Daphnia pulex: one gene and its partners. The protein of the gene in region 3 binds, or shares a complex with, the protein of the main gene of each other region. Links are inferred from orthologs where the notes say so. Each region holds a gene or a part of one and is shown on either strand. Other genes may lie near its edges.

Region 1 (6,929 bases), on a different chromosome or scaffold from region 3:
GCTAGACCTTTTAGATAGTCAATCATTTATATACATATCCTGTGCACGCCAAATCATATGTGTGGTGCTGTAGGCATATGGTTATGGATCGATGGCCAATCCTATATAGTCTGAGTGTGATTGCACCGGCCAAAATATCGATACAAAGGTTGGCAGTTGGCTGGAATTTGCAACTGTAATATTGCTTCTTTGTTGGTTGTTACATCAGATGAGGACTTGTGGTGAATTTCCTCTGTTGTGAGCGATTACCACGTCACATTACTATATATTTCGTCGGGATATTAACGTTTTGAACGCCGGCGTCATCGCCGTTACGGCACCATCCATATCCGCACTGTAATGTATTCGATCATTCTACTTTTCTTTTTTCTTTACTCCCTTGGAGGTTGATATATATGTATTATATATTAAAAAAGGACCCACTGCTGCACTCCTAAGAGCAGTGTCCTTTTATTTTATTCCGGAGCGGAAGAAAAAAAAAAGCTTTCTGGCACTGGATAATGTAATGGCAGGATGTGACATCATCAGCTGTTATTCCCTTTTAGATAGAGAGAATAGAACACAATGTTTCTCGGATACTCTTTTGTTTTTCTATAGCTGGCATGTGCTGCTTACATGATGGATTCGCAGTCAAATTTTCTACTTAGAAGGAGAAATAATAATACGCATATAGGGCGATATTTTGATTTGATTCTTAAATTTCTTATTCTTCCGGTGGATTTTTTCTTCACGGCAACAGTACAATATAGACCCTAATTGCTTCTCCATGACAACAGCCTACAATGTTTTCTATGTACCGTATAACTGGTTGAAGACGGTATAGTTAGACTTGATGTCATTCACTCGTACCCCCTCGACATGTACGCGTAAGAGTGAGAAAGGGAAGAAGACTATAAACAAAAGAAAGATTTTATTTTGATGTCAAACTATTCTATTTTTGACATCATGTCGAAAATAATGTATAGCGCTGCATAAGGATGATTAAGACTTGCAAATTCTTGGTGATTTCATTATATAGCTGCAGCGGCGTGAGTTGAATAATTGAAACATTTGCGACTAATAGGATCGACTCGTTTATAGATTTTTTGCATGTGTCAATAAGTGTTCCTGGCAATTCAATTATAATTAGCCTACTTATTCCCCATTCTGATAATTTCAGTAAAGAAAAAAAAAGAGTCGGTATATGGTTGACATTAAAGTCTATGTAACTGGATCCCGTTAATAGCCACTTAATGATGGTCACGTTAACAGAATAGACAAAAATAACGCAACCACCCGTTATTTTTTAGTCGTTGTCGTTCAATTCCCCACAGTTTGTTGCATAATGAATTCTTATTCCCATCACTCGTTTCGTAAGACCATCAAATCCGACCAAATCCTTTGATCCCGTTTTCTGATTATTCCTTTTCTTTTTGAATTGTCACTCAATTTTCATATAGCTACCCAGCTAAAAGCGCTAGCTATATAATGTGTTTGTACTACTCTTTATAATATTTGAATAATGAATGCGAAATCGCATCAGATGTTCACTTGAATATTCACGAATGAAGATTTCACCTGGTAGGAAACTTGTCATCCTAATACGACGTATAACACGCTTACTGCTGAGTACCATTAGATTAATAAGTTGTATGCTATGCGCTTTGCTGTTTTGTAAATAACGCGATCAGATAAATATTAATGTCTAGTCTCAGTTCATTTGAAGCAAAAGGTTCAGGAGAAAGATGATGATTCGTCTACTAGACTAGTTAAAAAATACGATGTACCCCAGCAGTGGGCTGCATATGATTGCCATTTTCGTTGACGCGTCGACAAGTTGTTTGACGTTAATATTTTGCGTTAATAAGATTTCGCGTCGCCCTTTTGTTTTGTTTATTACATTGTTTAATTTTTTGTTTCCCCCCCCCCTCTCTGCGTCGACTGCTATATACTCGGCGACGTGACGCAAATGGAATCGGGGGCTTGCTGTAATTGCCTTCAACGGCAGGTTAACATCACAACAGTTGCCGAAAGTATAGAGACGAGGCGGAGTCAGTTTTTGGGCATTGTCCGTCGCACGTGCCACCGCCCACCGGTTCGTCTACCTAGTGGCAAAAGCGTTATTAATATGGCGGGGAAATGTAATGAGAATCTTTTCCACGAAAATTTGAAACTCCTCAGGTAAAAAAAAAAAAGGCTGATATGGGTCAGGCAATAAGCGGCAGGTGATTGATAAAAGCCCACACTGCCTCAGCAACAGCTGGATCATTTTTGTCATGTCACGCCACCTGTTGCTACCTACGCTCTACTGAATTCTGTGCTATCAATGATGGAATATTACTCCATCATTTATCCCGGACCGACGGCAGAAATCCGCGTTGAATCTATTTGTTACTCCAATCACGTCACTTTGCTGATTGAACTTATAATCATAGAAGAGTGGAATTTCAAGCACGATTATTAGATAATACCAGGGAATTAAGATTGATACGTTCATCCTCTTGATTGTCGCATGGTCTACCGGAAAACTCGGGGCCGTAGGTGAGAACCAACCATTATACATCCGCCGAGTGCGCAGGAGGATGGCTACGTAGTATAGACCTACCACATGTACAATACGTGAATATGCACTCAGACATGATACACCGCCCTCACGGCCGCGTGCATTATCCGGATGTCACGTATACACGGAGTAGATATGACACTTTAAGATGATATTTCTGACCTATACATGGTAGAATGCTATCGCCCCCGCACCGGATATCCGATCAAAAGTGGCGAAAATAAGAACAAAAGTCAAAGAAAAATTTCAACAGATTTCGTTTGGGTTGAATATTTTTGATTAGCCTACTTTCAAATATTTCCGTTCTGGAAAAGGACGATAAAATAGTAACGGAGGCGTAGAATGTCGCATATGTGAAACAACTGGAAATCACACGGTAATATATTCCATCTTTTTATTTTTCCGTTCGCCTTTCCTGCTGAATTCATAATTTTTCTGATTTGACTTTTTTATTTTGGTATTTTTGTTTTTCAACTCCATATTCCATCTAAATTCTTCTATTGATCTTACCTCCTACAGGAAAATAAAATAACTCACGGTGCAAACTGAAGTTAGTATAGTCTAGCCGTCTAGCCTATCAGCTGCGGCTTCATGGTTTATTAGGGTCCTACGGCGCAGCGCAACCGCAAAATGTTATCCAAATTCGGAAATCAAACTGTGTGATAAGGCCACCACACACATTAATAAATTGTGGGCATGAAATTTGAAATCGTTTTAATTTTTTTTTTATTTTGTAAAAATTTTTTTAAGTTAATTCAATTTTTAATATTTTCTCGATTTCTTTCTAGATGGCATCAATTGATCAAGCAGACGACAAATTGCAAAAGTTGACGCTTTCCAATTTCCATTTCAAGTTGTTGTCTGACGTTTCCATTCTGTCCGGTTGCCTCGTTTCTAGATTTCCAAAACTGTTGAAGCAAACTACGTTATTTCGTTGTTTGCTTCGCAATGAGCACCAGAGGTAAATATATCGTGAAGTGTAGTCGTTTTCAATACAGATTCTCATTGCTATGTTATTATTCCTTTTTCCGATGGGTAGAAACTGATGAACAACAAAGGATTCGATTTCAGGTGGAACTAGAATTTGTGCAATGTTTCGCAAATCCAAATTATCTGCACTGTAAGTATTTGGTCTATTTTTAAAATCAACACTTTCATTATGCCTTGTTTACACTAGTCCTTGCTCAACGTGGCTATTTTAAGGATCCGGCGTTTGTCAACTACATCAAGTATTTACAGTATTGGAAGGAGCCTGCTTATGCAAAATATTTGAAGTACACCAATTCACTTGCAATTTACCCTAACTAGAAATTACAATTTCATTATTTTCCAGGTACCCAATGTGTTTGCATTTCCTAGACTTGCTTCAATATGAGCATTTCAGAAAGGAGGTTGTGAATGGCCAGTGTGCTCGCTTCATTGATGATCAACAAATCCTTCACTGGCAACATTACACTAGAAAGAGGGTTCGTCTTCTTCAAAGTCAAGCTGAGAAGCACATGATGACTGTTCAGAATGAGCCAACACCCCAGAAAAGTGTTTGATTCATGATAATTATTGTTTAAGGAACTTTTTAAACTTCTCTTATATTGGGCAAGTATATGCAAGACAATATAGACAAATTTTTGTAAATTGCTGTATTTTGTGTTGAGTTTTTGCAAACTACCAGACAAAATGTTAACAACACATATGTTTTGGAAGACTTGTTTTGAGTGAGAATGTTTAGAATGGAATAGCTGCTGTTGACCTCAACTGATGGGAGCGAGTGGAAAATCTCTACATATTACGAGATTTGTCATCAGTTACTATACTCAACAACCTCAAAAGGCAGATTTTCTTCACTTCTTCAATCCCAATGTTTAGTTCTTCAGCAGCTGAGTGTTCCAATCTCTCAACTATTCCTTTCAAGATTGCTTCCTTCTTGTTCTGCCTGGCACAGATAACAAAAGGAAATCCAAACTTTTCTCTGTATCTATTAAAATAATAGCCCAAAAGACACAGCTCATTAGTTACTATATAGTTATAGAACAGTAATTTGTCATACTTGATGTTGGTCTCTCCTAGCAGTTGTTTTTCACCAGGTGTCATTGTGTCTAAACCAGCAGCTTTCTGTTCAGCAGTACTCTCCTGTGTTAGGCTGCCAAGTTCAGCTAGCCTGCCAGCCAAATCAGGGTGAAGTCTTAGCACCCCCTCTTTACCTATCAAATGAGAAAACAAATGTTCAATTGATTGGCTATAAATAAGCATTCAAGCAGCCTGTAACTAAATAGTTCTAACCTGTGTCCGGAAGGAGGTCCAAAAACGAGCAAATTTCTTGGTGGAGATGATGAACGTCACGAAATGGGCGATTACGCCAAATTGCCGCCGCGCAAATTGAACAATGTTCAACTACATTACCGAATCGACTGATGAAATCTTCATAATTCAATTCGTTTACCAGCGAAATGTTCAGCATATCAGCCATTCTTGACGTGTGTAGACCGAGCAAGTGGCGCTTGACGACGATCTAAACAGAATGCAGCCGTAGTAAAGATAGTCAAGGTCGTCTATAATCAAAATAAAAGTAGACGAATAAAAATTCGAAACGTGTTTGTTTTTAAGTTTGATACATTTGTTATTGCAGCACTAAATAATGACGTGGATTATTCTCAATCCTGATCCTGCAGTTTGTTTTTGAGTTAACTCGATCGATTATCTGGGAAGATAATGAAAAATAAAAATATAATATTCCACCACTATCACGTAGCTAAATATCGAGTTTTAACCTTCATATATTCTCGCCATATTTATGTACACACACTTAAGGGATCTCGTTTCCACGGTCAAAACAACGTCATCTAAATGGCATTGAAATTGTTTGTGTGCATAAGTTGTTTTGATTTTTTCGGCATCAAAACAGAATACTGAATTGCGTGATAATAACAAGTTAACAAACTCAAAGGAAATTGAATTTTTAAAGATTTCACATAGAATAGCCACTTTTATGTCTGCTTGTCGAGGTGCACGTGATCAACTGACATTGCCTGAGGGTCATACTACTGTCAAACACGAAGGGGAACACAGAAAAAAGCGTGTCAGAAAATTCGTGAGGACGAGACGACAAGGTGCCCTTACCAAACTTAACTTCCCAGTCAGTACTATCGTATTTATAGCCAACGTGCATAGATTCACGTTGGAATTTTTCCCGCTAGCCGCACGGATTCAGGCTCGTCGCTTCGACTCTTTAAAAGCCACCCAACCGGCGGTATATAGCAAATAGCCCCGACTCCCAAGACTAGCTCGTCACTTCGACTGCACCGACTGTACGATCTCGTCTGTCCTGATAATTCCTTCGTCTTTTCCAGTCAAATTCATATTACCAAGTAAGTTGCATCATACAATTTGAATAGTTACATATCTTGTAAATTGGAGAAGGTAAGTGTGAAACCATATCGGTTTGAATGTAGTTCACAAAATGTAAGAGTTTCTAGGATTCGTACCGAACGATCCTGTGTCAAGGTGACCTTCGTGTAGGGACGACGTATAATATTGATCGAACCATGATTCTAAAGATATTCAGTGGAGGCAGCTTTCTAACTTTGCCTTGCTCATTGATTGGATGTCTAGAAGTTGTTTAAATGAAAAGTCTTTATCGTATTGGGAATGTGAGTTCTACTTTTAGAATCCCTTGGTTCTGAGCTATTTTTTTCTATCCTTAGAATGACCTTTGGGTTGGCAACAGACTAAGGTCATATGGTCATCTAGGATCATGTAGTATGTTGAGATGATCTTTACCCGCACCAATACAACTAATTCTAAGTAATTCAATTAAAGTGTGGTGTCTAACTTTCTATTTTACTTGACAGAAAATGACGACCTACTTCAACTACCCATCTCCAGCCCTGCAGGAGGAGCTCCGTACCATTGCCCACAACATTGTGGCTTCAGGCAAAGGTATCTTGGCTGCTGATGAGTCCACCGCCACCGTTGGAAAGCGATTTGCTGATATCGGTCTTGAGAACACCGAGGAAAACCGCCGCGCTTATCGCGAGGTATTAACCGACCTCAATTGAGACCGGAAAATACGAAATTACAGCTTGTTTTGAAGTTTATAATTATTAATTCGTATATTGTATTTTAGCTCTTGTTCACCGCTGACTCTGCCCTCAATGACAACATCTCCGGTGTTATCCTCTTCCACGAAACTCTCTACCAGAAAGCCAGCTGCGGCACTTCCTTCGCCGAGCTGCTCAAGCAACGCGGAATCTACCCTGGCATCAAGGTAGACAAGGGTGTGGTCAACCTCTTTGGCTCTGAAGACGAATGCACCACCCAAGGTAATTTTCTAAATACAGTCAACACGTAAATTCCCCGCGAATTAAAACTTTTGGTTGTTGTCGTTGCAAAG
Region 2 (7,245 bases), on a different chromosome or scaffold from region 3:
AATTTACGAACGTAATTTCTACATACCGATAACGGCTTGGCCGAAGATGGTTTTTCTTACAGACATGTTGGAAAATTTATGCAGATTTTTCGGTGAGGGAAAGGTTGATCTTTAGGAATTCGCCAACTTGACGAAGAGTTTTCGGCTGATAGTCTTTAAGTGACAAGGCAAATAAAATGTTTTGCTGTGTTGGAATAAAGTTCACCAAGAAACGTGCAGCAACGTGAATTTCCTCGTCGTCTCGACCGAATAAGACTCTACAAAATTGCAATGAAAGTTAAAAAAACGAAACGAAATTGAGACGACATACAAGAATTACCGAACGCTGTAAACTGCACTGGAAGAATCGTCTTTCTGAGCAACGTCCCGACGGACTTCAACCACGTTTCCCACCTTGCCGTATTGAGTAAGTATGATAAATAACTTGTCGCTAAAAAGGACAATGAATTAAAGTGTAAGTAATGCAAGCAATGAACTAAAGAATTATTCCAACCTGAACTTTGAAATGACAACTTCTGTTGAATTCCCGTTAATCTCGATAGTTTCTGTTTTAGTCTGGACGGGAAATCTTCCCGCTACACCTTCCATATCAAACGATATCCAACCTGAAAGATATAAAAATGGTTCGTAAAAATTAGTGGTCGTATAACAGAATGGAAAGCAATAAAATGGTAATTGACGTCAACTAATTATGATGTGATAAATGCATTTTTTTTTAAATTTTATCCAATTTATTGATCACAATAATCAAAAATTTTTTAAAACTCTAGAAACCATTCTCCTCTTGTAAAAACGTTGATACTCTTCAGGCAGCATGGACAGGTGTTTCAGAGCAGATTCAACCATCTCCAACGCCTGCAGTTTGAAAGTTGAGATAGAAAAATAACCGAGGCCCTGAAGCTTTGACAGTGCCTTACTTTTGAGGCCGGTAGCGGATCTTTGTTGCCGTAAGGGTCTTTTTTATCGTACACCTCTGGACTCAAGTTTCGCCAGAAAACGTTGACTGCTACGGAGAACTCGAGTGATGTCATATTATGAAACCACAGAGCCGGGATGAAAAGAACGTCTCCGGGCTCCATGATACATTCGTGAGATGTTACTTTGGCGAACTCCGGAAAGTGTTCCAGATCAGGAAAATCAATGTCGATAACCCGAGATTTGTCGCCTTCCAAATAGAGATACGGAAGGTCTTCTGGCGAATAGAGAACGGCTCGTTTTTTGCCAGTGACTTGGACAAGAAGATTGTCCATCACATCGTAATGTGTCCACAACTGAACTCCTTCAGAAGCCACCCTGAGGACACTTGAAAAAATAGTGCTTGGTTCCAAAAACTTGGGAACTTGAAAATCTTGGCAAAGTTCAGGATAATGAGAATCAAGATTGGCAACCTCTCTTCCCCTTGAATCAGTTCCAAGTGCCCTTAAATAGTAAACTTCACTGTTTGTTAGAAAAAAGTTTTCGTGCTCATTTTCAGAAGACCTTTTGATTACTTGATCAAACGGCAGTGTTTTATAATGAAAGTTTTTGGTTAGGAAATTCATTTGCCCTGTTTCAGATACATGAATCTTCACTGGCTTATTCCCAACATTTTGCGAAAGATATTCAGCTGTCCACTTTCCTAGACAACTTCCAATGTCTAATCCTCTGAGTATGACAGGACTTCGTTTGGGATGGATCTCATCAAAAAATTGTTCCATTAGGATATTGTTATAGACGGGAACTGGGCTGACTTTTCTTTCAGTCATTTTAAAATTTACTCTACTAACGAAAGATGATCACGTGTAAAAACTTGCTTTGGCTATAACAATTGAATGTTACCTGCAAGGCGAAATGATAAAACTAATAACTATCGATAGACCGGTTCAATATACAGTTAAATTAACAGCAATGCACTTACCAAAAGCAGAGAATTAACTTCAACGGTATTGTTGTTTCGAATCAACTTTCAAGAGGAAAAATTTGAAGGAAAAATATGTTACAGCGACTGCAGACGGACTAAAACGAATAAACAACGTTGCAATTTGATCTAGATGTTTAATTTAGGTGGATCATCAACATTTATCAACTAAAATACAAATAGAAAAATCTATTGCAATAATTATTTTAAAATAAAAATTCTTAAAAAAAAATAAATCACCGAGATTATGTTTGTCCCAAAACGATTAAAAATAAAACAGCAGACTATTTTACATCAGAAAGGCGAGTAGATCGAATGTATTTTCCACTTTGAATAAACATAAAATAACACAGAATTCACAAAGAATCAATCATTTGACACAGAACACGATCCTCCTCAGTACACCCATTCCCAGAAGTTTGGTTGCTTGCATTGCCTTCTGAAGGTTGAACCCGTTCAACATCTATAAGGAGCTTGATGTTGCCTTCAGTTGGTTCAGGAATTGTGTTGACAGCCTGCTGAACCAATTCCCAAGCTTTGTCAAAATGTCTTCTGAAACGCTCTGCAATTTCCAATCTTTGTCGTTTTTGTTGTTCTAGCATAACTCTAAGAGTTTCCCTTGCTTGATGAGGCCGAAATTCATTGACCAGATGATGCATGTGAATGAAAAGCAAAGTGAGGTCATCAATTTTTGTGGCTCTTGCTTCAGACTCTGGATTTCGTATGCAGATATCAACCAAGTCAAGGAAACTAGCAGTGATGGAGTGATTGAGCTTTTTCAGTTCTCTTCTGTGGTCATAGTTATTAGGGTACAGACGTCGTATATTCTGGAATAGTAAAACGAGTATTAAAGAAAGCTTTGATTAAGAAAAAACTTCTATCACCTGGCTTTCAAGAGGTCGGATCACAGCATCATCAGTATTATATGGATTACCAAACATGGAATAATTGTCTGTGATCGGAGGAGGTGGTCTCGGTGTTCTTCCTCTTTTAGCGTTTTCTTCATTAAAAAGACTGACATATTGCATCGGTGGCAAAGGTAATGAACTAACTTGAGCCGTTTCTGACATTTTTACTTTCCCACTGGAATGAAGCAATATAGTAATGTAAACAATATAGTTTGTTTTCAAGAATGAAGAATGTGACGTTTTCTAGTTCGTTTGCTTGGGGATTTCAGCAGACTATTTTTTGATCAATGTTCTCCTTTTTGTGGCTGTCCCGACACGCCATTCTTGAATGGAAACAAATTTGATTTAGAATGTTGTAAAAGAATTCAATTTTACATTAAATTGTCATTAAATCAATTAATCGTTGTTTATTTTTTTATTTTAAATGTATATTTCCTCGATTTTATCGCTAATTTTCGGAGGAAATTAAATCCGATAATAGTTGTCGGCAACTGCCGCTAGATCTGTCCGAGTTGCCAGTATTTAGAGAGGTTTGGAGAGCTTTTTCTTCGTCCTGCTTTCATTCTCTTCGTACCAGGGTCCAGGGAGAAAGACAATGAACGAAGTTATAACAGCTTTATCAAGTGGGGACTACTTTTTTGATTAGTGATCGTTTTGTAAGTATGTTTAAAAGCTCTGCCAAACCTCTTGCAGGTGAGGTAAAAAAGCAAGGCAATTTAGTGAAACGATCACAGAACAAGAAGAGGTTTAGTTTGATCAACTACAAGAGTCGATGGTTCGTCCTTACCACAAAGTTCCTCGCCTACTACGAGGGCGAATGCGAGGTAAGGTTTAGTTCTACTAAACACGCATGGACTGTGTTCGTGAATCCCTTCATCACTAATTCATCACAACCATCAATTCCAAACAACAGAATCGCAAAGGAAAAGAAAAGGGACGTGTCGACCTCCAAACAGTGAAAGTTGTGGAAGCTGTTGATCCAGCACCTGACACACCTGCCATCGGTCCATTGGCAAACCTTACAGGTTCCATTCCGAGTGATTTGAAGGGATCTCCTGCTTTTCAGATAGTGTACAATCCTTATGAGTGTAATGAAGGTTGTAGTGCAACAGACTTGACTCTTTGCATTTTCACTCCCACTCAGCAAGAAAGAGATATCTGGCTTTGGAATATCCGAGTTGGTGAGAACATTCTCTTTTGACGTCTCAAGTAGTTATGTGTGACAAATAGCAGTATTTATCTCACATGTTCATTTTATCTCATCTAATAATTTATTTTATTTTTCTCCTGATAGTGGTCAAAGACAGTGCTCCTCTTGTGAATGTGTATCACCCTGCCCTGTGGGGGAATAGAAGTTATCTTTGCTGTGGATCAACCCAAAGGTCCACGTCTAAGGCAATAAACGGTTGCCGTTCTGTAACTTGGGCTCCCAATACACTTCAACACATGGGCATCAATTTCAGTAACATCATCCACCATCCGTCTCCCTCACCAAGTCCTGTCGCTAAACCTGCGAATGGGGCTGAAGTCGAGGCGGCCATGGTCAAACCAACGGCGATTAAACCCACGACGGAAATTCATCCGGCAATCGTCGGGGATGTTGTTCCTGCATCCCCTTCCACTTCTCACAACGCCGTTGTTGCGTTAGGTACTATACCCGCTTATGTATCCTACTAAGTGCTAACTAATGATTTACACCCGTTCGTTGCCTGCAATACTTCTAGGAAACAGTAGTTGTACGACTTCTAAGTACATGAACAACAGTTAATGTTGAGTTATTTCGCATCAAATCCTTAGTCAAGGACTTTGGGAGGGAGGGGGATTTAAGCCAATAGAAGCACATTCTAAGAAACTGCGTCGTTGGAATAGATTCAATTTGTTTTCCTTGTAAAAAAAACTAAATGGATAAAGTTATTACATCCACTTCACTTGCGAAGCTAAATTATCGGATAGCTGAAAAGATCAACTAATTATTAGAAAACTAGAGAAGTGAGTGTTGCGTGTGGCGCTGCAGTGGTTTAGAGAAAGAAAACTTGTGTGAGATTGGTACTGGCAATATTCATGAAAATTTTCTCTATTGAAAAATGTTGGGGATTTGCGGTCGGTCGGAGAGAAGAAGACCTAGAGAATGCACACAAGCTTGTTTTTCCCCGAGATTTTTTTATTCCTTTCGGCGGTTTTTAGTTCTAGCCCTCTCCCTGTACTCAGTGGGCACTGACCGCGTCTCTCATAAATCACGTTTCTTTTTCTCTAATGACGAGAAGAGGACTGCACATCTCATCAAGTCCCGTGTGAGAGCGAAAGCAAACGACAAACTGGACTATTCCTACGCGAAAGTGTGGGAGAGATGATGAAGCCAGCACAGCACAGTCTCTCATATCTCTCAGAAAAACAGCCTACGTTTGTTTCATTCAGATACTGAAATAGTTACCTGTCAGTTCGATTAGTGTTGCGCTTGTGTTTACGAGATAAAAAATAACGTGAGAATTATTGATAAGCTTCCACCTGCTGCCTTGGTCCATTGTTCAAATCTATTTTGTTGTAGTGCAAGTTTTGCAGTCAGCTCGCCCCTACCTATTTTGTTTCTCTAGTTTCAATGCGTGTATGTAAGTTTTACGTACATGGCTGATGTTTCAGAGGTTTTAACGGGCAAATTATGCGCATTTTTGGTTGCCGCTGGCCTATTTGGTCCACAATGTCTTCGGATTCTCTCTCTTATAAGATCACCGAAAGTAAATTGACTCTAGGTATGGTTCGGCTTCACCGTGTTGTGTTGTTTTTTTCTCTCATCGGTTTTCTTCTCATGTTACTACCCTTGAGCAATCGAAAATCGCACAGGCTATTCACGTTGACTCCCACCTGAAAGTCACCTGTTGAATGACTCAACAGGTGTTCAATGCGTTAAGTTACAATCGTAAACCATCGCGGTGGGTCTTTATGTGCACTTGGGTTTGGCTTGCCTTCCGACAAATTTCTGGAATTCAATTTCTAATTTTAATCTGTTGTATTTGAATGCTTGCGAGGGCAATCATTTCTTATGCGGTTGTGTTGTATGGAAAATATTTACATTTGTGATTTATTGTTTTCTTCGGGATTTCCCTAGTCCCCTTGCAGAAAATCCAGTATGTGAGATTATACCACAACTTATCTGTTGTCCGTTAATTCCTGTTTTCTTGGTTTCAACGTTTGAAAGTAGTAGTAGCGATAGAAACTTGTCGACAGTCTTGTGTGGTTGCGTGTTTCAATTCCCTCGAGCGTATTCTAGTGCCGTGTGTGTGTAAAGTGAGTTGGATGTTGATTAGATTCAAATCGACGGGAGCTCGGCTGACCTCACCTCCTCTTTCGTCAGCCAGAAATGGTCCAGACTGGACGTTGCAAGTTTTTCCTTTTCTTTTTTGGGACTATTAGAATAACTATTAGAAAAGTAAAAACCCGTCCTTGTTTACGAGTTTCTGACACGCGTACAATTCAAAGGAGCGCGTTAAAGAGAAGGGGAGAAAGTTCCCTCCTCAATTTCTCATACCGGTATCGAGTCTGCTAGGAAAAGCCTTCCTTATATCCATTGTTCGCCTGTGGTTGAATAGAAGACGCAGCAACGATTTCTCCCACACTCGTTTCTCCCATTCTATCCTTTTTTCTCTCTCTCTCCCCTCTTTTTCTCTCTTCTATCCCATTTTTTTATTTTATTTTTAGTTGTGTTTTGTATCCATCTCCAAGCCCTTGAAACTCTTAGGTCGAAGACTACATATAGACGACAGGCCTATTTTGTATGCCAAGGACGGAAGGTTATTATACGGCTGTGTATGTGTGTGTGTGTGTCAGTACATCCGCCAAATAAGCCTTTGAAAAGAAGAAGAGGAACAAAAAGAACCCCCCTCTCCCCAGCTTCCCTTCTCCCAAGTTCGATGATAATTCAGCTCTACGATGAAAATTACCTTTCAAACCATAAGACACCCCCCATCGTCTCTTGTTCGCTATCGTTGTTCTCCATCTATGTTATTTATTTTCCTTTAAACCGCCACTCATCGTGCGCTTTATTCTTTTTTCACCATTAGGTTCTTCCATCCCGACTGAACCCGCTGTCGTGCCTAAGAAGGTATGCAGTCAAAACGAAAGATTGACCCTTATTCATGTCTTGTTTATTTGCAAAAAACTAATCGTCGCATTCTTTGTGTTTACCTTTTGGGATCTTCCGTCCAGGTTGTGGCCCTCTACCCATTCCAGGCTATCGAAAGCGGGGACATATCCTTAGAAAAGGTAATTGAACTCGGCACCCACATATTTTTGGTGGGACCTGTGATTTCGCTGTCCAGTCCCAATGATGCTTTATCTTTCGTAGTCCAGAAAGGAATGTTCAATTGCGTTTTTTTCCATTTAGGGTGAAGAATACGAAGTGGTCGACGATTCCCAGGAACACTGGTGGAAAGTCCGCGACAAGTT
Region 3 (8,651 bases):
CATTATTTTTATAATTTAAAATTTTATGTCTTTCAAGGATGCCTGTAAGCTGATTAAAGATCTACGCAAAGAATGCCAAATCATGGTTCAAAAAGAAAAAACAAATGGACTAGATTATCAGCTAAGACATCTTTCAGAAACGGTAAGTTATTATTTGAACCCCATGCTACACCGAAACTCAGAAATACTATTCTTTTCTCAATAAATTGTCAAATTTTTTTATAGGAAAAAGTGGTTGTTAAGATGTTTATTGCCAAGGCCAAAATTGATCCAGAACGTAACAGACACCGAAAGACTATGAGATATGACCATTCCTTTCTAATTCAGTGCGTCATCCTAAGGATGAAAAGTTATTCAGCATATGTGCACATACGGAAAATTGGACTTCTACCTCTTCCTAGTCAGTCAACGATGAGAAGGATGTTAAGTTCTTCCGAGTGTCAGTTTGGATTTAATTCGCTTGCGCTCGAGCAGATATCCGATGCGTTCAAAGGATTACTGGCATGGCAGCGCTGGGGAGTTATAATGTGGGACGAAATATCAATAACCAAGGACATGAGATGGGACAGTAAAGGTCTGAAGTGGAAAGGCATAGTAGACTTTGCAGGTGAAGTTTCCATTATGGTCCCAAATGGTTTGGCAGACCATGTCCTAGTGTTTGTGTTCAGACCATTTTATAAAGGCTGGATTCAACCGTTTGCGTGGTTTGGAACAAAGGGTGGAGCATCTGGTACAGTTTTGCTAGAACTAGTTACGAAAAGCATTGCGCGTCTGTTTCAAGCTGGAGCTATAACGAAAGCAAGCGTATGTGATGGGTTTTCCACAAACAAAACGGTGTATTCCCATTTTGGTGTTTCTGGAACGGAAGATGGAGTTAATTCCATGTTACACCCTATGGATCCTTCAGTGAAAATTCATTGCCTCCACGATGTTCCTCATTTGTTGAAATGCACAAGAAACCATATGCTTGAACATAAATTAGTTCAGGTAACTTATTTTTCTTAATGTTGTTTTACTTAATTTGTAATTCTAAATATTATTTGTAGTTCCAGGGACACAACGTAAATTTTTATTCGTATGAACATCTACTGGAAGCCCAGAAAGGTTTGCAATTGATGTTATGCTGCCGATTAACTGAAGCGCACGTAAAACCAAACAATTTTCAAAAAATGAACGTCAGACTAGCTGCTCAAACATTTTCGGAACGAAATGCTCTTGCTTTTAAAATCTACCGTGAAATGCCAGCCTTTACTGCAAATGAAAAACGGCTGAAAAAGTTGTTTGAAGGTATTTTCCATAATTAATCAATCAATTTAAAATGCTATTGATTATTACATATTGTTAGGTACTGAACACATTGAGCGGCTTACAAAGACTGTGAATGACAATTTTGACGTACTCAACGGTAGACATATCAAAGAAGGAATCACTCCCAATAACTGGTGGATAAATGCACATGATGAAAAAGTGAAAGGCAGGAAACAAATACTTGAAGCCATGTTAGCAGTTCTAGCAGTAACTGAGAGGATTTATGAAAAGGACAAAAACCGAAAAATGTTTTGTTCCTTGACAACCGTACATGGATGGAGAATGACTATAAGAAGCGTTATTGCGTTAACTGAAGAAATGTTTAACGCAGGCTATACAGTAGTCCTCACTGGAAAAATGAATCAAGATCCAGTAGAGGTGAAACGAATTTTAATCGTGATTATCATTTCTATTGCAATTACTCAATAACTTTTTTTCTAATTCATACAGAGACTGTTCGGCATTGTACGTGGTGTTGATGCTCATCCCACGGTGACTTCTTTTCAACAAATCATTCGCTATGTGTCTCTTGGAGCAAGATTATCCACGATTATACAAGGAGCAAACGTTGACAATGTTGAGCAGATGAACATCCTAGTAACAATGTCAAAATGCCTTAAACGTCAAGCCAAGGAAAGTGACATTCGAGCTTCCGACCTGAGATCAGTATTAGAAGATAAACTACTGAAGGAAATAACAATTCGGTTTGTTGATAAAATTAACGAACCAGCGAATTCTAATTTCGTCAAAGATATTTTGATTTATGATTTGTGTGGTTATATGATTCACACAAGGAAGAGTATGTCAAAATGTCCTGACTGTTACAAATCCCTTCGCTGCGAGGAACTGGAGTTGCCAGAAGACTTCACTGCAGATCATTATACTCGAATGCGCAATAAGGGGTTTTTGATCTTTGTCACTGTAAATATGTTCCAAACATTCAGAGTGATAGAAAAGGTAATTGAGGGTCATTTTGAGCCAATTGGCCAAATGTATGAAGAGGAGTCATTTCAAGAGTGCATGGAGAAAATTTCAACTTGTCATTTGGTTCCCATTTTTTGTGACATTCATCGAGATGAAAAGTTACCTTACCTCATAAGAGAATATGTGGGAGTTAGATATTATTTTGAATCAAAAAGACTAAAAAATCTTTTGTTAGCTGAAGCTTCAGCAAATGTAAAAAAAAACAAAAAATTAGCAAAACTTGCGTAGGTACCTCTGTATTTATGAAACATTGTATGCAAGAAAATGATTCGTTTTAATAAATACCCATTTGTAACTACACTAGAATAAAATTCAAAGTAACTGAAAACTAAACATACCATGTCATTACATATTTTTTTTACACAAACAAACAATAAAATGTAAGAATGTGAGAACACTTAGAAAAATAGGACACTTATATATGACTTAGAGGTTTGACAGTTGGATACTTCTACCTTTTTATTATTGTTCACTTCTTGTAGAAAAGTAAGCTGTGATTGGTCAATGAGTTTTTCATAGACCCTTCCTGATTGGCTGGCTTCACGTAGTACCTGACACACTCACTAGAGGCGCTCATCAATTTTTCCAAATCGGACCACGGTTACCCTGAAACCGGGATAGGGAAGCCAACACGGCCGAGAACCGACCAGGTATCTATTGCTCTGCCTTTTATTTGAATTTTTAGTTTTTTCCGTCTGCTCTTCATTTCCTCCATCTGGCAAACGTCATTACAGTATAACAAACCAAAAATCGTCAACAAGAAAAAATATCAACATTACACAAATTGATTTGCATTCATGCAATAACTAGCATGGATTACGATTTTAAAGTTCGAACGAGCGTAGAACGTACCAAAGTAGAAGATCTGTTTGAATATGAAGGAAGGAAGATTGGTCGTGGTACTTACGGTCATGTGTATAAAGCGAAAAGAAAGGAAACATTCGCCACTTCGGATATTAATAAACTAATTAGGTTTGATATTCTCTAAGCACGAGAAATTGTGTAAGTTCAATATAATTATGTTTTATTTTATAGTGCTGACCAAAAGGAATATGCATTAAAGCAAATTGAAGGCACTGGTCTTTCCATGTCAGCTTGTCGTGAAATAGCCTTGCTCAGGGAGTTAAAGCATCCTAATGTGATCAATCTTCAACGAGTATTTCTTTCCCATACTGATCGCAAAGTTTGGCTTCTTTTTGATTATGCAGAACATGACTTATGGGTTTGTTAAAATCTTCCTTCTAAAGTTGTTTTGGTTCATGATCTTTTAACTTATTATATTTGTCACAAACCAAAATTTAGCACATCATTAAATTCCACAGAGCAGCCAAAGCAAATAAAAAGGCAGTTTACACTCCTAAAGCCATGGTAAAATCTTTGCTATATCAAATCTTGGATGGGATTCACTACTTGCATTCTAACTGGATCCTTCATCGTGATTTGGTATTGAGAATTATCTGCTTTTGTTAATATTTTCATCAACAAATAGATTTTTGCTTTCTTTTCCTTAGAAACCAGCCAACATCTTAGTCATGGGAGAAGGAATTGAAAGGGGAAGAGTTAAAATTGCCGACATGGGTTTTGCTCGTTTGTTTAATTCACCACTGAAACCTTTGGCTGATTTGGACCCTGTAGTTGTGACTTTCTGGTATCGAGCACCAGAACTGCTTTTAGGAGCTAGGCACTACACAAAAGCTATTGGTAAAACATTAGTAGTTTGTGTGGTGTTTCACAATTCTATATCATTGCTTTACAATTTATTTTAGATATTTGGGCTATTGGATGTATTTTTGCTGAACTACTAACATCAGAACCAATTTTTCATTGTCGTCAAGAAGACATTAAAACTTCCAATCCCTATCATCACGATCAACTCGATCGGTATGAAAATTTGCTCTTCGTGAGTGTCAGAAATGAATTATTTATTACATTTCCTTGTAGAATTTTCAACGTAATGGGATTTCCACATGACAAGGACTGGGAAGATATTAAAAAAATGCCTGAACATCCTACACTTCTCAAGGATTTTAAACGTAACAAGTAAGTGTTTATTTCCATTTGTTTGTTTACTTCTTAATATTAACTCCATGTTCAAAATGCATCTTTTGTTTATTTTTTTTTTATTTTTTTCTTTTAGCTATCAAACATGTTCCTTGATGAAGTATATGGACCGGTATAAAATTAAAGCCGATACTAAAGCTTTTCATTTGGTAATCGATATTTAAAATTAAAAGTTGCGTTTTTTTCTCTCCTTTTTTGACTGATTAATTTGCTTCAAGCTTTCCAAACTTTTAATGATGGATCCTACTAAAAGATTCACCTCAGAATCTGCCATGGCTGATCCTTACTTTCAGGAAGATCCTTTACCTACTTCAGAGTAAACTTAAAATAAGAATCATAATGTAATATAAGAATCAGTTTTGATCAGATTTGTGTTTCATTAGCGTATTTGCTGGTTGTCCTATTCCGTACCCGAAGCGAGAATTTTTGAGTGACGAAGAGCAAGATGACAAATCTGATAGCAGCAAGGTAATAATAAATTGTTCTTTTGATTTTATTTTATCTAGTCTTTTTCGTCTCCCTTGTTTTGGTTTTCTTTCATTTGCGTTTTATTTGGCATTTGGGTACACTTTTGAATTCAGATGATTGCTAAGAATCCACAGGGTCAGAATACTGCAGCGAATGCCCCCAATGACCAGTCTCATGGTCCTAATGCAAAACGAGTACGGTTGGCTCCCCCACATCCTGGAAACAATGTTGGTGGATCCAACATGTCAGGAGGCCCACCAGATTTCCATGGTCAACATGTTGGACAGCAACCCCATGTACAGCAGCATCCTTCTGCACAGCAACAACAACAACAGCAGCAGCAGCAACAACAACAGCAACAACAGCAGCAGCAACAACAACAACAGCAGCAGCAGCAGCAACAACAGCAACAGCAACATGCTTCACAATCGGGTAATTCTAATCATGGCCATGGCCATCACCCTCAGCATCCGTCACAACAAGGCAACATGCAAGGAGGTATGCATCCGAACTATTCCAATCATCCTGGCCATCCTCAACAACAGTCGCATCCTCAGCAAAACAACTCATTTAATCAAAGATTCTGATGCTCTTTTCATCTATTACTAGCAACTTATTGTATTTTGTCTTCATTTTGAATTCGTAAAATAAAATAAAATGCGTACATTTTCATACTAAAACGTTTAATAATGCATTACCGCTGGAAATGAAAAAGGTACATAGAATAAAAGATACACGATGGATCGTGTTTTGATTCCAGGAATCAAAGGAAAATTGCTGTAAACTATGATCATGTTTGACGAAGGGAGTAACTGCCAAATAGCGAAAACAAGTGGAGGCTGTGTATGGGTACTTGGGTAGAGCAAAAAAAAGCGAGAAAAAGAAACAATATTGAGTCCTTGATTCATGTTCAGCAAAAAAAATTAAAAAAATTAAAAGAAGGGTAAAATGGTAAGTGGCTACGAAACGAAAATACAATCACAAATAAAAAATAAGATGACTAGCCCGTCACATTTTCTATGCCAATTGACATCATTTGGCATCAACAAAGATGCACCAAGAGATTTGGTGAACTATTATTCTGCCACACTTTCAGGTCCACTTTCCATGACTGGTCATAAATACAGATATGACAGAAAATGTTACTTGGATGCTTTCTTTTTTGTTATTGTTGGGGACAGGGGATGGCAGAAACGACAAAGAAATTTTTAGCGCAAGAGAAAAGATAGTACGTCAATCCGCAATAGACAAGGTTCCGACTTTTTAAATGATAGTTTTAAAGAGTAAATTCATCGTCAACGTCATCAAATTGAATGTTATCGTCGAAGGGTTGAACCCACGCAAAAGGGTCTTCGACGATCGTATTAAAAACATGAACAGATGGTTGTTTAACCATTTGAGAATTAGAAGGTGCAGGGGAAGAAGCTTTAGCTGGAGGCAGATCCGGTTGGAAGAAGTCGTCATCAAAGGGATCGTCTACTCGTGAAAAGATGTTTACTGATGTCGATTTCTTGACCAACTGATCTCCTTTGGTCTTTAGCTGATGATCCGGATCCTTAGCCTCACTAAAAGCTGAACTAAAATCGACAGCAAACGAATCTGAAACGGGTGGAATATTTGGTTCGGTAACCATTTTATCTGAGGAAAGGTCAAAATCTGCAAACGAATCACCAAATCCTTCAACTGGGTTGGCAGGGAAGCGTGCTTCAAAAGCAGCAAACTTGTCAGCCAAATCATCAATGGCTTCGTTATCTTCTTTCTCGATGACTTCTATTCTTTCTGATTCATCTTCCTCCTCCTCTTCATCTGCAGGCGTTTCAGAAAAATTGTAATCTTTCTGTGTCGAACCATTCCAAACGGTGTGAGTTGCTGCTGATTTTACTGCCGAGTCCTCCTCGGCAAAGTGATCAAATTCGGCACTTCCGGAAGATACAGAATTTCCGCTAGGATGACATTGCACCGCAGTCTTGGGTCGGGCACCAGTCTTATCATATGGCGATTCAGTCAATCGATTCAACTGGATGTGGCTAAAATCATCTTCAAATCCGAAAATAGGGGAAACTGTTTTACCGACGGACGCGACTGGGGGGTTGCCATACAGAAATCCGGCTTCTTGTGTTGCTGAGTATGCAAGCACTTGTGTGACTTCATCAAAATTTGCAAATTCGGAATCACCATTTCCCATTTCCTCATCCTGTTGAGCGGTGGATGACACAGCCAAATCTTGTTCCATTATCTCTCTAAGAGCAGCGTATCGGTCGCTATCAGACACCTTTGAGATTTCAGATGGACGAGCTTCTGTTTGAGTATTCGTCGGTTGAGGCGCTTTAGCGTGTCGAGTAGCAGAATCATCCTCTGGTTCGGGAGCATCGCTGAGTATTTCGTACTTTTTACCACCTTTATAACAGATTTCCGTTTCATCTACTTTTACTTCAACGGGCTCTGGTTCTTCTTCTTCTTCCTCCTCCTCCTCTTCTTCTTCTTCCTCTTCTTCCTCCTCTTCGTCTTCCTCTTCTTCATTGTCTTCTTCTTCTTCCTCCTCCTCTTCTCCTCCAGTTGTCGGGAAGTAAGGATGCGATGGCGGGAATTTCTTTTCGGAATGGCGTGTTTTCTTATTTTCAACTTTGACTTCTTCTTTTGTCATCTTATTTAACTCTGCCAGTCGCAGGGCTAATTCTGTCAAAGTCATGCTGGTTAGTCGCGCAGGTGGCAGCTGAAGGGTATCCGCTAACTCAGCCAAGGACATGTTAGACAGTTGCAATAGGGATATTTGATTTAGTTTCGACTGAATCGGTTTGACTGGACGATGCGATTCCTCTCCATCTTCTCGAGAAAGGTGACGAGTGACATTCTGTCCTCTAGAGAGGGAACTAGATACTGACAACGGTTGTTTTGGTTTCCGAACGGGAATCGGAAGCGGTGGCGTTTGTTGCCCACTATAAATGAGTTCATCAGTAGGGGTTACAACTGGTCGCTGTGGTATAAGTGGCGGTTGTCCTTTGGGAGGCAATGGTGGCGGCCGGAGAACAGGCGGACGAGGAGGTGGCTGTGGAGGCATTGGTAATATTGCCAAGCCCGAAACAGATTCTTGCTGCAATGACTGCAAATGTTGTTTCGGCGAATGTTGCAGTTGCAAATGTTCTCTTTGTAACTGTTCATCTTCAACAGAACTGGACGATGAATCATCTTCACTTGACGACAAATCTAAAGGTGGAAGAGGCGAGTCTTCCGCTCCACTTACGGTTGTAACTTCAGTACCCATATGATGAACAGACCCAAGTTGACTTGGTCGCTGTGTGTTCGGACCTCGTGGTGACCAACTTAAACTGCTGAGTGAAGTGGCGTCATTGATGGCGTGTGGGTTGGTGGTGTGTTGATTACGCCGAGCTTGATTCGGCGAGGATGGTATTTGAGGGGTCACGTTATTCATCTCATTGTCACTATCCGACTGACTTTGCCTGATAGGCAGAGTCACCCGAAGTGTTCCTCGAGGATAACGGGAAGGACTGGACTTTGCCGTTGAAACTCGCAAGGGCGTATTCGTGATAGAGGATGCACTGTTCCTTGGACGAGGGGATATGGGATTTATTGCTTTAGAGACCTTCGAATAGCTACTGGAGGAAGTGGGGATGGGTGGAGACGAAGACTCAACTAATAACGATGAATGAAACGGAGCAGAAAAAAGCGGTGGAGCCATGGAGGCAAACTGAGTATCAAAAGGGTCGGCCTCGGGCATGGGGGCAAAGTGTAAGCTTCCAAATGGATCTTCTGACAACTGTGCATGCCAATCTTTAGCATGTTGTTGGTCGATAGTCTCAACTTGCGACGTG
Region 4 (7,080 bases), on a different chromosome or scaffold from region 3:
TAAGTAAAAAGTAATTTCGTCGTCGTTGTCTCGACGTCGACGACGACGTGTGTACCTTCTTATTGCACGACGGAAAGTCGTTACTTTGATATTTTGGGGTTTGTTTTAGACAGGATCCCCGTGTAGAGAGTTAGTCTCTGTATTCGTTTCATGCCAACTATTGAATTTCAAGATTGTGTCCTCTGTGCAGTTGACTAGTTTGTGTGTGTGTGTGTGTACGAAATGTAGGCAATATGGCCGCCGGCATTTTCCAACTGGGCGCTGCTGCAGGCAAAGTGCTGCTGTGTGGCCTACAAAACAACGGGCAAGGTCACAAAACCATAAAAGCAACGGTACACACAGACAAAAAAAAACGGCGATCGTTCATTTTCACAACTTTTTTTTCGAATAGAGGACCGACATTGACGGATCGGAAAATTGCAAAACGTGAACTTTGTTCCGATCGATCGAAACTGTAAACTCGACTCGATTAAAATTTCATCGATTTAATTATTCGCAAAGTACAAGCGAGTTAAACAGTCCGAATTTGTTATTCAAGTGTAGCGTCAAGGTCCTTGTTTTCATTGGCGCCCGGTCAGGGATCGTGTGCGGATTGGCCTGCAATGCTAATAATAATACAATAACACAGCCAATATGTCACCATCATTATCTCCCGCACGAGCTTTTAATCTTTACACTAATGAAAAAGATGAGCTCCTTTCCCTGGGCAGCAGCAGAAAATAACATCACCAAAGCCGGACGATATTATCCCAGTGATTCATTCCGGATTCCAAACACACTCACGTGTCTCTCTAATATTTTCTTAGTGATGGAAATAAATCTTGGACAAAAAAAATGTGGAGCCCCTAGAGTGACGTCATCTCAAACAGGTCAAGGCTTATACTGTGTATTTCTTCATCTCTGGTCAAATTATAATTGTCTCGTTCACCGAAATTTCTGGTCGTCAGAGTTGTGTGTGTGTGTGGGCACAGCGTGACATTGCCCTACTCTCGTCGTGTGTTATATACGCGCGCCTTTTCTCGGTCTAAATTATCGATCATATGCTGCTCAGAGAGGGGGAAAGCGAACACACACACAAAATAGTTTTCGTATATATAAAGGAAAAGTTGGAGAGAGAGACGGATCAAGTGGCGGTGGCGCTCCTGTCTGTACAAAAAGCCAAACAAAGGATTTTTGATAACGAAGGAAATGCCAAAAAAGGGTCACACACAATATAATAATAATAATAAAAACGGTAGCTCTCTTCCCTCCCCACACACTTGTGTGTTTGCGCAGATGGTTTAGTTATACGTAAATCTCTTCTCATCCGGATTAAATGGGATGGATCATGATATTATATGGACTAACTCTTGTTTTGTTCTGGCGCATGACTTGTTCATGTTCCCTTTTTTGCTCAACACTTGACAAGTGAGTTGACAAGTTATATTTCATCACTGGGGGTTTGTGTGTGATTCGATTTCAATTGCTTTTGTGGGGGGAAGAAAAATAAAATGGATGATCATGGCCGCCAAATGCGCCACACAGCAATCCCAAACGGCTGACAGTAGAAACTTAGAAAGTGTGTGTGTGTGTATACAGTACGGCGAGTGGGGGGAGTGTACTACTACGACTTTGTGTATCTTTAAAAGAAAAAAAAAATGTATGCGTGCGTGTTTGTGCGTTTGACCGTGAGTAGGAGGTGGTGGCTGCCTAGCGAGGCGGTCAAACGAATCGGGAAAAGGGGCAGGAAAAACATAATCATCCGTTCCCGTGTTGATTTGTCACGAACTTGGCCATCTAGCGGTCGAAATTCGCAACTTGCCAGGTCGTTTTGGTGAAATAACATGGGCAGAAAAAATGGATAGATACATAATCTTGGCATTTGTATTTCATGCCCTTCTAGTAAAGTGTCTGTATCATTTATTTATCATTTATTGTTGGAAAAGACAGGCAGAGATTTACAATAGAAGCCGGAAAAGAGAGGGAAAATGTGTGGCAACTCGGATTCACGGGACATAAAAGTGCAGACGATGTCAACATAAATATTATACGATGTCGTTGGACGATATCTCCTGCCTCTAGAATAAAAAGGACTCTGTGTATAGATGAAGAGATAGGCCGTGATGACATATTTATTGAACGGGTGTTATGAATGCTACTGCTGCTCGTCATTTATTGAGCAGCGCTCTGGCCAAGACGAAATCAATTGTTGTTAAAATGTCGACATTCCAAGGTGCCAAGGATCTTTTCGGCGGAATCATTGTGCGCTCGAGCGAAGAGCCACAAGAAAGGAACCGAATGGAGCAGCTTCTTAAAGGTGCAAATTTATTTTTATATATTAACACATCATTTGTTTTATGTAATAGTTGTTTTGTTTGTTTTTAGAATCTCTGCAAGTCTGGTCCACCACTGGAGTTCGTGGAGTCTGGTTTGAAGTGGAACCAACCTGTGCTGAATGGATTCCAGTACTAATTCAGGTAGTCAAAGAAGAATTATTGCTAGTCAAAACTGCACGAGCATTACCTTATTCATTTTCTTAGAATGGCTTTTCTTTCCATCACGCAAACCCAGAGTTGAGTGTGTTGCTCAAATGGTTGCCTTCTGACGAACCTTGTCAAGTGCCTAGTTATGCACACACAATGGTAGGCGCTGGAGCCATGGTTGTCAATGATAAGAATGAGATTCTTGTGGTTCAGGAAAGGTATTACAAAAGACCACACTGGAAACTCCCTGGTGGTTATGTAGATCCAGGTATGTATATTTAGACATCATTAACATTCAATCATTACCAATTATTAAATTTACAGGGGAAAGTATTGCTACTGCTGTCAAGAGGGAGGTGTTTGAGGAGACTGGTATTAAGACAGAGTTCGTTTCACTCGTTGCCGTGCGGCATTTGCAATCAAGAGAGAAGAATCCCAGTGCAAGGTTCGGCTGTTCAGACATTTATTTCGTGACTTATCTCAGACCTGTTGAAGGTAGCACAGAAATCAAAATGTGTCCTCGTGAGCTCAGCGACGCTTGTTGGATGCCGGTTAGTTTTCTAAATGTCAACATTTTCAATTATTCCTAGTCTGTGTAATTGAATTTTAAATATTTTAGCTGAAAGAATATGCGACTCATCCGCTTGCCTTCGAAGTTGGGAAAATCTTTGCTACACAGTTAATGGCGATTGCCGATGGCGATAATCCCGCAATCAACTGCCTGGAATCTATCCATCAATTGACTAATAGCAATAGCCAAATTTACTTAGTTGAAGGAAAACAAAATTTTAAACTGTAATGTGTTCAGGATCACGTTCTAGTATTTTGTTTTAGTGCCTGTTACGGGAATCAGATAACGCATTATATTTAGCTTGAATTGTTGTTTTAACAAATTATATATGCAGATCGGTAAATTACTGCCCAGTTCCTGTAATCATCAGAATGTAGAATTAATTTCACAATACAGGTTGTGAATGTTTAAATTTGGCATTGAAGTTATCAGATTCATCGCTAGGTGGCGTAATAGCCGGCACATCTGCTTTTCTCATCTCTGCATTTCCATCAACAATGGCTGATCGTTTGACACAACTCCAAGACGCTATAAATGCGGTATTTATAACTGATTGCATTGACGAAATTGCCAAGTGTATCGTCTCAAATTCGTGGTTTAATTCTCTGTTTCTAGCAAGCTGATAATTTCTGCAATGCCATCGGTATTTTGCAACAAACCGCCCCACCGGCTACATTCCCAGGTTTCGATCGAGCAGGCAATCGAACACCTCAACAACAACAAGAAGATCACGCTTCTCTTTTTGCCACATTGATTGCCCGCTGCGCCAAAGATATTGACGTCCTAATCGATTCACTACCCAGTGAAGATTCTACCTCCGAACTGCAGGTATAAACTTGGTTCTATTAGTATTCTGTCGGTGCAATGTTCTACGAAGTTGACTAAAATTAATTCAATCGCTGCAGATTGCAAGTCTCAGAAGGCTGGAGAATGAAAATGAAAGTGCCGCTGCACGATTGAGGGAGGTTGTCAGCGAAGGAGAGCTGATGCTCGAGAAAATTCAGAATGCACTTCACGACATTGCACAGACCCAACTGGCCATGCAGAGCACAGGTCCAAATTCCTAAATCCAACCATTATTTGCTCTAGTTCCCTATTTTTGATATTTAAAAGAAGAAAATGAAACAAACAATTTGCTCTGCAAGAATTTCGTTTCATTTCTGGTTTCCGCCACAACATCAATTTTAAATCTGTTCTTTTCAAAATCATATTGAGTGAACATTCTTGTCACACACAGGTGAGGCAAGTCATTTCAGGAAGGAAGGAAGATGGGGTGACAGATTGTAAAAGAAACTGTTTGAAAAGGATTCCAACCTTTTATATATCCACTTCTTTTTTTGTCTTCCTTTAGAAAACCCAAAATGGAAAGAAGGGGGGAGAGAAGTTGCTGTTCACTCGTAAGAAGAGAAAGAACACGCGGTCCGTTTGTTTAGGAATGGCGTGCAACAAAAAAAAAGAGGAGGGGGGAGCGGGAGGAGGAGAAAAAAAAAACGATAGAATGTTGTTTAGCTTTTTATTTTTTAAAAAAGAAGAAGTAGAAAAAATTCTCCCGTGTGTATAAATATAGTGCTGCCATCTTCTCCGACCCCTTTCGGCGATCTCCGGTCGTTCGGTAAGAAGGGGGAAAAATAAAGGGGGTTGGAAGTGGGTGGCGTTCAGTCTCCCCACTTCCTTTTTTTTTCTCTCTCCCTCCCCAACCCTTTTTTGATGCAACAACAGTGTCTGCGTTCAGCGATTATGTCTTTGGAGAAGATTACGTTTGGCAGAATTTCAGGTGAGTTTGAACAATTTGTTTTCTTATTTCACGAATTTTCCAGGGTAAATTTTGATGTTGCTCAGGATAAATATGAGATAACTGGGGAATATATAGAGTCTTATTAGTTCTATAGAAGAAGCGCCGCATACCGCTTCGGGGCAGCAACTGTGTGTGTGTGTATATCCCCCCCTTCTTCTTCTTTTTTAAATGTTTTTCTTTAAAGAAAACAAAAAATACTAAAAGGGAGGAGGAAGATGAAGAAAAGAGAGGGGGAAGAGTGCAGCTCGCAAAGGTCCCTCACTTCTTTTTTCCAACTCTTAAACGAGTTCTTCTTCTTCGGGCTGTCTGACTCCCCCCCCCCACCCAACCCCTTCCTTCCCCCCCCACTGAGATTCTTAACACATACGAGACTTTTATGTTAATTTCGTTCCTTTTTTCTTTCTTTCTTCTCGTCTTCCCGATATATTTTTCTTCTTTACAAGATTCCGGCCGAAATAATAAATATACCAGTCTGTCTGTCTGTCTGTGTGTGGGTTCGTTATCAAAACCCCAAAGTCGAGAGAGGCGGAGGGGTTAGGTATTTTTACTCCATTTCACTCCGGACGTGAATTTTTTGTTCTTTTTATTTTTTTCGGGAACAACACAGTAGAGTGTGTGTGGCACGGTCGACTGTAAATACAAATAAAACCACTTCCTGGAACTGTATAGATATACCCCTCCTATTCTTTTCCTATTTTATTTTTAATTTTTCGGAACTTTTTTTTGAATTTCCCGCCTCTTTGAAATTTGTTTATTTCTGCGTGTATTTATTGAAAAATATTCGTGTCTGTTATTGTATACAGACACGCGGTAGGTTTTTTATTACTTAAAAAAAAAGAAATAATTTTTGAAAGACATTGTATCTTTCTTTATATTCTTCTTCTTCTTCACACAAAAAGCACAGCTCTCTGTCCGGCTGAGTGAGCTAAGAGCTTCAGGGGAGGAAGAAGAAGAAGGACAACATTTTGTGGGCGTGAATTTCTCCCTTACGGACATTGTCGCCGACATTTTCAGTTCTGAAAGAGAAAGAAAGAAAGAAGTTTTTAAAAAGAAACATTAAAAAATAGAAAAGTATTTTCCTTTTAAAATAAAGCAACGACCGCCGCTAGATGGCTTATTGTTTCGGGACAGGTATATAAAACATTCACAAGTATATACCGACGTAGACAGCTTAGATGCACACCTGTAGATAGTAGCGAAAAATGTTTCTTTTTCTTTTTCTCCCCCTTCCCCAACAACAGGTTTTATTCCATTTTTTTCGTTCACTCCAAACCATTATTTCTCAACGTGAATTAGAGACAAATGCATCACGCAAAGGTTTTCGAATTTGGCGGGCGTGATTATTTTATTTTTCTCCCGAAATTCTTGTTTCAAGGTGAATGGAAATATTGGGAACACACGGGAGAAAAGAGAAGAAGAAGAAAAATCATTTTGAAAATGATAAGATGGAAACTGTTGATGGAGTTGAAGAAACGAGTTGAGAGATGAGGGGAGGAGGGGGGAACGGCATGACTATCATTCTCGTTCGTTCGTTTTTTTTTCTTCTTTTTTTTGACCATATGTGGTGGGAGAAGAAGGATGGGAAATTTCCCTATCTAACCCTTTTGGTTGGTTGTTGTTGTTGTTGTCTGCTGGCGGGGGTATGGAACTGAAAGAAGAAAACGCTCTATCACATTCGACCATCTTCTACTACTACCCCTTCTTTGCTCTCATCGTTTCTTATTTATTTATTTCTGATTTCTCTCTCCCCACCCCCCGAGAGAGTCTGAGATATCCCACATATAAGAAATTCCATTTGATATTCATGTAACCAACTGACCCAATTCCAAATTCTATACCTATTTATAAAAAGAGAAATCCACCCCTTTTATATTTAATCGAATTAAAGTTAATTGTATTTTAAATTAATGGAAGTTTAAAAAAACAAAAATTTCGAACGAAATGACAATAGGGGTTGTTCTAGGCGATCGATAATAGGCCTTAACAAAAATTTGGTGAAAAAATTATTATTTTCCCCTTGTTTTGGGTTCGAAAAACGGGAGGATATCCGCCATATATTTCCCCATTTTGATTGCGGGCGTCGCATATGCGCCGTTTTTCATAGATTAGACAATAGGCCTAGAGGGGTATTACGATAAAAATGTATAAAAAGGAGGGGGGGGACTGTTGTATAACGGGAGAAGAGGGGTTCGTTGACTTGGGGTTGTTATATTATTCAAAAAATAGTATCCATCTATTTTTTGATGGAAATA

The links.
Region 1: cyclin-dependent kinase 8-like (region 3) and mediator of RNA polymerase II transcription subunit 31-A-like share a complex: the UniProt entries of both Caenorhabditis elegans proteins name them as parts of the mediator complex. The link is inferred for Daphnia pulex from reciprocal best matches to the Caenorhabditis elegans genes cdk-8 and mdt-31.
Region 2: cyclin-dependent kinase 8-like (region 3) and mediator of RNA polymerase II transcription subunit 7-like share a complex: the UniProt entries of both Caenorhabditis elegans proteins name them as parts of the mediator complex. The link is inferred for Daphnia pulex from reciprocal best matches to the Caenorhabditis elegans genes cdk-8 and let-49.
Region 4: cyclin-dependent kinase 8-like (region 3) and mediator of RNA polymerase II transcription subunit 21-like share a complex: the UniProt entries of both Caenorhabditis elegans proteins name them as parts of the mediator complex. The link is inferred for Daphnia pulex from reciprocal best matches to the Caenorhabditis elegans genes cdk-8 and mdt-21.

What each region holds. Positions count from the first base shown.
Region 1 is NC_060024.1:13,242,980-13,249,908, reverse strand, and holds mediator of RNA polymerase II transcription subunit 31-A-like, read left to right. Parts: upstream 1-3,349; 5' UTR 3,350-3,490; coding exon 3,491-3,503; intron 3,504-3,581; coding exon 3,582-3,662; intron 3,663-3,719; coding exon 3,720-3,816; intron 3,817-3,875; coding exon 3,876-4,086; 3' UTR 4,087-4,174; downstream 4,175-6,929. Other genes in the region: 2-oxo-4-hydroxy-4-carboxy-5-ureidoimidazoline decarboxylase-like, read right to left, coding at 4,319-4,514, 4,587-4,740, 4,820-5,006; fructose-bisphosphate aldolase-like, read left to right, coding at 6,391-6,573, 6,663-6,858. UniProt on the Caenorhabditis elegans protein: Component of the Mediator complex, a coactivator involved in the regulated transcription of nearly all RNA polymerase II-dependent genes.
Region 2 is NC_060019.1:10,644,836-10,652,080, reverse strand, and holds mediator of RNA polymerase II transcription subunit 7-like, read right to left. Parts: upstream 3,104-7,245; 5' UTR 2,968-3,103; coding exon 2,782-2,967; intron 2,725-2,781; coding exon 2,254-2,724; 3' UTR 2,185-2,253; downstream 1-2,184. Other genes in the region: GPN-loop GTPase 2-like, read right to left, coding at 27-66; proteasome assembly chaperone 3-like, read right to left, coding at 77-257, 320-430, 494-588; tyrosine-protein kinase Btk29A-like, read left to right, coding at 3,468-3,629, 3,719-3,986, 4,100-4,453, 6,861-6,901, 7,006-7,062, 7,184-7,245. UniProt on the Caenorhabditis elegans protein: Component of the Mediator complex, a coactivator involved in the regulated transcription of nearly all RNA polymerase II-dependent genes.
Region 3 is NC_060023.1:3,947,061-3,955,711, reverse strand, and holds cyclin-dependent kinase 8-like, read left to right. Parts: upstream 1-2,891; 5' UTR 2,892-3,103; coding exon 3,104-3,264; intron 3,265-3,327; coding exon 3,328-3,514; intron 3,515-3,594; coding exon 3,595-3,735; intron 3,736-3,803; coding exon 3,804-3,993; intron 3,994-4,058; coding exon 4,059-4,173; intron 4,174-4,233; coding exon 4,234-4,332; intron 4,333-4,429; coding exon 4,430-4,502; intron 4,503-4,571; coding exon 4,572-4,669; intron 4,670-4,736; coding exon 4,737-4,821; intron 4,822-4,934; coding exon 4,935-5,408; 3' UTR 5,409-5,501; downstream 5,502-8,651. Other genes in the region: uncharacterized protein LOC124198281, read left to right, coding at 38-142, 226-987, 1,047-1,287, 1,346-1,686, 1,759-2,520; protein disabled-like, read right to left, coding at 6,098-8,651. UniProt on the Caenorhabditis elegans protein: Component of the Mediator complex, a coactivator involved in regulated gene transcription of nearly all RNA polymerase II-dependent genes.
Region 4 is NC_060027.1:1,943,734-1,950,813, reverse strand, and holds mediator of RNA polymerase II transcription subunit 21-like, read left to right. Parts: upstream 1-3,437; 5' UTR 3,438-3,530; coding exon 3,531-3,572; intron 3,573-3,648; coding exon 3,649-3,861; intron 3,862-3,938; coding exon 3,939-4,100; 3' UTR 4,101-4,177; downstream 4,178-7,080. Other genes in the region: nudix hydrolase 8-like, read left to right, coding at 2,128-2,296, 2,365-2,456, 2,520-2,730, 2,787-3,013, 3,082-3,261. UniProt on the Caenorhabditis elegans protein: Component of the Mediator complex, a coactivator involved in the regulated transcription of nearly all RNA polymerase II-dependent genes.